2 linked regions of the Bombyx mori genome follow. The protein of the gene in region 1 interacts with the protein of each later gene in a biochemical or structural test. Links are inferred from orthologs where the notes say so. Each region holds a gene or a part of one and is shown on either strand. Other genes may lie near its edges.

Region 1 (3,984 bases):
GATTGCTTGTTATTAGTTTCTCATTGCTCCTGTAGATGGCAGTAACATATTATCTATCTTAAATTTTATTTTTAACTATGGATTAAAAAAATATATTTTTCTATATATAATTTAAAATATATATAAATGGAGAAGAGATCGTTTCTCTAATACATAGTATTCCCTATTGCAAGAAAAAATTGATTTAAGTTTGAAAAATGAAGAAAACCGTAATACTACACACTGCAAATTTAGTTACACTTCTTTCACGTGTCACGTGCCTCAAGTTGCACGCGCACCTTTTTTTTTGTAATTCACAACAAATGTAATAGGATAATTTTGTATAGTAAAAAAAAACTCATTCATCAATAATTGTATTTATAAAAATCCTAATTATATTATTTCCAATTAACAACAACTTACCTCTGCAATCTGCATATTTGAAGTTATAGTAATAAAAGCAGAAAATAATGATAAATTATTTTCATACTTGGCGCTCAATATACAGGGTATCTCAGAAAGAATTGATAATACTGAAACACCTCATAGTAGAGCTATTGGGGACACAAAATAAAAAATAAAAAATAAAATCTTAGGTAGCACCCAAATTAAAAATAAAATAAAAATACCAAATTTCATTATTAAAATTGAAGTTCAGATTAACTTTTATAAAAAATTACACTGGCTACTCATGCGATTTTCTACATATTCCTTAGTATAGTCCATATAAAATATTATAACACCAAAAAGCTTATGGATTTCATTTATTTGTAGCTGTTATATATTCCAGAAACGCACAGCAGTATGGAAAATATCAACTTTTTTTTAAAATACATAATTTGGGTACTACCTGAGTTTTTTTTATTTTTATTTTTTTTTGTGTCCTCAATGGCTCTACTATGAGGTGTTTCAGGATTATCCATTCTTTCTGGGACACCCTGTATATGAGTAAGACTCTGTAAGACGCCATAAGCCTTTTAATTTATAAAAAAAATAATTATGTTAGTAAAAAAGGTTTTTTTGTAACCGAATATTGTTAGTTTACTAATTTGCTGATTAAAAATTTACATTACCTACTCATAATATGGTTTTGAAAGAAACGACTGTTTAGACGATAAATTTGAAAAAAAAAACATGACTATTTTACGGCCCTGAACACAATGCTGTTGGCCTATAATGGTCTCGATGCCTTTGGCTTGTAATTATCTACAGTGAGTACTGTTCAATAGAGGTCTGTGTACCTAAAAATGCAAAATAAAAAATTGACAAAAAATCTATGGTCACTTAAATGAGGTTTTAGTTTTACCTAGTTTTTTGCAAATTTTTTCTCGTGTGAATTAATGTTGATTAAACTGTTTTCAACTAATTAGCTCTCGTTAGGTCTTAATATTTTAAAATTATTTTTGGAAGAGACACTGATAGGATTTGCACAATGGCTAATGTGTCTTACCATATAGCACATCTTCTTGAGAAGGTAAGCCGGTTAATTTGTTAACTAGTTCAATGTTTTCGTATCTAATAAGCTCGCATTTATTGAGGATTTTCTATTTATTTCGTAGATGACATCCAATGATAAAGACTTCAGGTTTATGGCTACTAATGATTTGATGACAGAGTTGCAAAAAGACAGTATCAAGCTCGACGATGATTCTGAAAGAAAAGTAGTAAAAATGCTTCTACGATTACTCGAAGACAAGAATGGTGAAGTTCAGAATTTAGCTGTGAAATGGTTCGTTTGATATTTCATAATTCCAAGCACAATAAATCTGAGTATCAATCCTGCATGTGATTCAATCCTGCATGTGATTTAACTCCCAATTTTTTAAGTTCTATTCAAACTACTTATGAAAAAGTATGGTAGAAGATAAAATTTCAATATTCGCTGTCGCAGATTTTTGTCATAGTTTTATGAAATTAGATAAGTTTCCTTTACAAAGTCAAGTCTAATAGTCTCAGTTGTTCTGTACTTTTATCAGTGTTAAATTTGTAAAATTACATAACTTTTTCTCAATTTAAACCAAATTCACTTAGGTATTTCAACTTTCTCATACTAAAAAAAATATATGTTAATCTTTTGCTCTATTGCTGCAAGAAAGAAGCACACACCAAAATATAGACTTTACTGATGATAATATTGTTAAAGTCATAATTTTATAATACTGTATACTGATATTAACAAACCAGTACCCTTGACAATAATTCACTTTCAGCCTCGGTCCTCTTGTAAACAAAGTAAAGGAGTATCAGGTGGAAGGTATAGTTGATACACTTTGTGCCAATATGCTTTCGGATACTGAGCAGCTAAGGGACATCAGCAGCATTGGATTAAAGACTGTAATTTCTGAACTCCCACTGGGTTCCAATACTCTTGCTGCTAATGTTTGTAAGAAAATAACTGGTAAATTGAGTAGTGCTATAGAAAAGGTACAGTATAGATGTTTAGATATTTCACTGGATTGTTCAATTTATTGCTCTCTTCAAAAAATAAACATGTCATTATTCTTCTTAATTTTTTCAGCAAGAAGATGTTTCAGTTCAACTTGAAGCACTTGATATTCTTGCTGATTTATTGAGCAGATTTGGTGGTTTATTGATATCATTTCATCCTATGCTGCTCAATTCACTGTTGCCGCAGCTTGCATCTCCCCGTCAGGTATACAAGTAGCAATGAAAACACCTGTGATCCAATTATATATTATTATGTATCCAAAGTTTGTAGGCTAACTTTTGGTTGTCCCGATATTTCAAAGTTAAAGGAGCCTACAGGAGCAGCTGTTGCTACCTTCATTGTCCCATTTGGACTCTTGATTATTATGTTTCTTGGTGGTTGGTCATACATTTCGGGAACACTTTATTGTTTACTATCAACATATAAAATAATAATGAAAATATGTAATGTAATAAATATTAAAATTAAATGTTCCATGCTGATATTAATTATATAATGCAATAGCAAGTTAAAATTTTATTTAATCAAATTATAAAGGTTTTTTGTCTTGTGAGCTGTGGTCAACTATTACCAAAAATGAAGAATTAAGGCAACCATAAATTTATTTGCAAAGAAAAGTAATTAACTATCTTAACTATCTTAACAGGTAATTTGTAGCTGTTATGGGTTAGGTGCTTTCACTATGTGTATTGTTAGCAGATATCTCAAATATACCAGTTTGAGCTGTGGGACAATTTAGGCACAGTATAAATTCAAACATTGAACTTATGTCTTTTAGTGGATGGCTGCATTCATATCCTAATATCTTTCAAACTCTGGTAATGACATAGAATTAGGTAGGTGGTGAGCTATCACCTAACGATATAGTCCATTACAAAAAAATTATGAAATATATATATATATAGCAAAGTATGAAGGTGTACGTTGATCCAAAATTTACGTAATATAATATTAAAAAATTCCAGGCTGTTCGCAAGCGCACCATAGTTGCGTTGTCACATTTGGTCATGTCTTGCAATGCTTCGCTTTATAACAAGTTAATAGACCATCTACTGGAGGGTCTGAGCTCTTCAACTTCATCAAGTGTCAGCCGAACACACATACAGTGCATTGCTTCTATATGGTATGTTGTGAGTTAATTGACATTTTTGTTCATTCATATTTTAATTTTGCAGCATGTGTAGGATCTAGGCAAGAAAAATTATATTAATTAGACTAAATTCTCTTGAAATTTGTTTATTTTAGTCGTCAAGCTGGACACCGATTTGGTGAACAATTGTGGCGTGTGGCACCATCAGTTTTGGAATATTCAAAAGATACAGATGAAGAATTACGGGAACATTGCTTGCAGGCTCTTGAAGCATTTGTCCTCAAGTGTCCTAAAGAAGTCCAACCACATATACCTACGGTAAATAGACATAATTGGATTTTTTTATTTTCATTGCCTATATAGATGAACAAGCTCAGGGGTCAACCTTGTGTTGTCAGTTATTGGAGCTCATTTACATCATGTACATGTACATTCATACAAGAATGAAGCTTTGAGACAAGAGGTT
Region 2 (3,521 bases), on another chromosome or scaffold:
AACATGCTTCGTCAAAAAGTACAATACTTGCTTTCAGCTGCAAGCGTCGTCATAAGTAACATATAGGTCCACGCTAACAGCAATGCGCGCGTAGGCATCGGCTAGTCAAACAAACCACTCTGGATCGCACCCGGCCCGAAAGTAGAAGTGAATGAAATTGTGTTACTCTGAAAATTATCAAACAAAAGCTAATCTGTTTAATCGTTGTGCGATTCACGGTTAGCTCGTCTTTTATTATACCCCCAAATGACGTCACACGATAAAGTTACATTCATGGCAAACCAAATAAATCTGATATTAGTATCATACGTCAATCTTTTTTTAGGGTTGACAAAGAAAGTTATAAAATACGTTAATAATAATTATTATAATAGAACCAATAAGTTTTAAGTGTGACAACCAATCGCAGGCAACGCGGTGACGAAAGCGGCGAACTCCTCGTCGAAGAGTCCGGAACTGTTGGCCAAGTACTGCGATTTGCTGCTCAAGAAGTCCAGCAAGAACCCCGAGGAGGCTGAACTTGAAGACACCTTGAATCAAGTCGTGAGTACACTCAAATACAAAATCTCAAGAATCCATGTTTTTTTTTATTGCTTAGATGTGTGGACGAGCTCACAGCCCACCTGGTGTTAAGTGGTTACTGGAGCCCATAGACACCTACAACGTAAATGCGCCACACACCTTGAGATATAGTTCTAAGGTCTCAGTATAGTCACAACGGCTGCCCCACCCTTCAGACCGAAACGCATTACTGCTTCACGGCAGAAATAGGCGGGGCGGTGGTACCTACCCGTGCGGACTCACAACAGGTCCTACCACCAGTAATTACGCAAATTATAAATTTTGCGGGTTTGATTTTTATTGCACGATGTTATTCCTTCACCGTGGAAGTCAATCGTGAACATTTGTTGAGTACGTATTTCATTAGAAAAATTTTGAATGAACTTTGCTATGGCTGTGTTACGTGGACTCATAATATAAAATACATTTTAAAGTATCTATGCGACCACACTGTTGAGTTTGTATAATCTATCTCCTTAGTGGACTTTTTGGCGGGAACGCGAGGAGTGAAGTTGTGCGATTTATTTTATTTTGTCTATTTAGTGTTTCTTCAGGTTTAAATGTGGGAAAATGAAACAAAGCCGCTGGACGTAACTTCTCAGGATCCTCCAAAAAGTCCACTGAAAAAATCTTAGTGAATGACCACCATCTTACTGAGATTATATTTCATCCCATATCATCTCATTTCATTTCATTTAATTTCATCCCAGTTGATTAATGTCTCAAATTAATCATCTTCATTTCATTTCACTCCATAATATCATTTTCCATAAAAATATGAATATAAATTAAAATAAGATATGACTTAAAGGTCTCAGTTACCAGGTCATAAAATCCTTTAAAAAATATCTCCTTAGTGTAATCTGTGTCTTTGCATTTTCCCTCCATTTCCCTCCTGCAAAATTTCTACCAATTGTTTATATCTTATTTAAGTAATGTTTTAATAAATTCTAGAAAACTATCCAAGTTATTATTTAAATACGACAAAGCGGGTGAACAAACACACACTTAAGCTTAGAGGATACAAATGTTGGATTGCGTTGATTTTTGTGGATTTATGGATCATTCATTTATATCCTATAATCAATAGATAGATTGATCTCGTCTGAAATTGGTGGTAGGAATTGACGGGGAGGAGACGTGATAAATCAATAGATGATGAACAAAAAAAAATCTATCAAATAGACCAGATAGCGGAGTTCCAATTTTGTTGATTTGACCTCTTCGAATAATAGAGATAATTAAAATTGCAGATGGTAGTATTCAAGTACATCGAAGATAAGGACGTCTTCCAGAAGTTCTACAGCAAGATGCTGGCGAAGAGACTGGTGCAGCACATGTCGGCCAGCGATGACGCAGAGGTCAGTATGCTTCGTCTCAATCTCGGCGCTGAGGAAGTATCCCTGGTGGTGGTCAGGCGTCATCGCTTTTATTTACGATAGGACCTCTTGTGAGTCCGCGCGGGTAGGTACCACCGCCCTGCCTATTTCTGCCGTGAAGCAGTAATGCGTTTCGACTTGAAGGGTCGGGCAGCCGTTGTAACTATACTGAGACCTTAGAACTTATATCTCTAAAGGTAGGTGGCGCATTTACGTTGTAAATGTCTATGGGCTCCAGTAACCACTTAACACCAGGTGGGCTGTGAGCTCGTTTCCCAAATTAAGCATTAAAAAAAACCATAAAATTTATAAAGCTGAGTCTGTCTAGACGCAGAGAAGTTGAGCTTTATAAATAATCGTTACAACTACATTATGTGTTTCTGTTGACAGGCGTCGATGATCTCAAAATTGAAACAAGCCTGCGGATTCGAGTACACAAGCAAACTGCAGAGAATGTTCCAAGTTAGTATTTAGTAATTTTACTAAAAACTGGCGCTTTTAAGTCCTTTCGTCTACCTATTTGCCAGTAGCCTTTGAAGGCTATTCAGAGAATTGCTAACATGGCCCTAGCAAGAGTAGTGCTTGGCTGAATCTTTTACCGGAACGAAGTCGCAACCACTGAGAAGAACCGGTGAGAAAATCAGTGGGCCTTCTGGGATTGTTTAATTTTTCCCTTTACACATGAATAGCATTTCTCATCATAAAATATCTATGGAATTAATAAAAAAACTGTTGAGAATTGTTGCGGACCTCTTTGCTATTTTGATAATAGCTAATGTGGTTTTTTATTCTTCACTTTTGACGTCTATTCATATAACCCATTTCTTTCGGTTCACTTAATTTTCTGTTTTTATTAAAAAATAATCATTCTCAACTTGTTTCATCGTTTATAATTTTACAGAAGTTTATTTAGTTTATCTTTAAAATAAAAGAGCTATAATAAAAAAAAGGATGCGTGTACTTATGTACGTACGCGCGTAAGAAGCTATACTTTATTTTTATTAAATTTATTTCTTTTTTTTTAATTAATAAATATTTAACGTCAATAATTTAATAATATTTAGTATGAATTATGTTAAATAATAATTTTGTCATTTATATTACTAAAAAATGAATGCTAATAACACTTTTTTTTTTGCGAGTGAGCATGCGCGAAAGTTCACCTGCGGCTATATTCAGACTCGCAAGTTACGTCGGTCGTATTGTAATGAGCGATTTAGTGGCCAACTTCATTTCTGTTAATTTTGTGTCACGGTGCGCGCGCATCGTAAAATTTCACTCTCATCAATTTTTCATAACGCGCCTAAAGAAGTATAACTTCAAAAACACAATATAAACAAATCAATGTGTGAATTTATGATGATGATTAATTTAATATCTCGCACAGGACATTGGCGTGTCGAAGGACTTGAACGAGAACTTCAGGAAGCACATGGCAAACAGCTCGGAGCAGCCCCTGCACATAGACTTCAGCATCCAGGTGCTGTCGTCCGGCTCGTGGCCCTTCCAGCAGTCCACGTCCTTCCAGCTGCCCACGGAGGTGACGTCACCACTTCAATACTCCCCCCCCCAATCACAATA

The links.
Region 2: the proteins of cullin-associated NEDD8-dissociated protein 1 (region 1) and cullin-1 form a complex in vitro, tested with the Homo sapiens proteins (6 studies listed by BioGRID and IntAct). The link is inferred for Bombyx mori from reciprocal best matches to the Homo sapiens genes CAND1 and CUL1.

What each region holds. Positions count from the first base shown.
Region 1 is NC_085111.1:7,841,763-7,845,746, forward strand, and holds the start of cullin-associated NEDD8-dissociated protein 1, read left to right. Parts: upstream 1-1,182; 5' UTR 1,183-1,411; coding exon 1,412-1,453; intron 1,454-1,538; coding exon 1,539-1,708; intron 1,709-2,189; coding exon 2,190-2,403; intron 2,404-2,497; coding exon 2,498-2,632; intron 2,633-3,393; coding exon 3,394-3,551; intron 3,552-3,673; coding exon 3,674-3,836; intron 3,837-3,984. UniProt on the Homo sapiens protein: Key assembly factor of SCF (SKP1-CUL1-F-box protein) E3 ubiquitin ligase complexes that promotes the exchange of the substrate-recognition F-box subunit in SCF complexes, thereby playing a key role in the cellular repertoire of SCF complexes.
Region 2 is NC_085108.1:4,435,857-4,439,377, reverse strand, and holds part of cullin-1, read left to right. Parts: intron 1-409; coding exon 410-543; intron 544-1,814; coding exon 1,815-1,922; intron 1,923-2,330; coding exon 2,331-2,402; intron 2,403-3,327; coding exon 3,328-3,480; intron 3,481-3,521. UniProt on the Homo sapiens protein: Core component of multiple cullin-RING-based SCF (SKP1-CUL1-F-box protein) E3 ubiquitin-protein ligase complexes, which mediate the ubiquitination of proteins involved in cell cycle progression, signal transduction and transcription.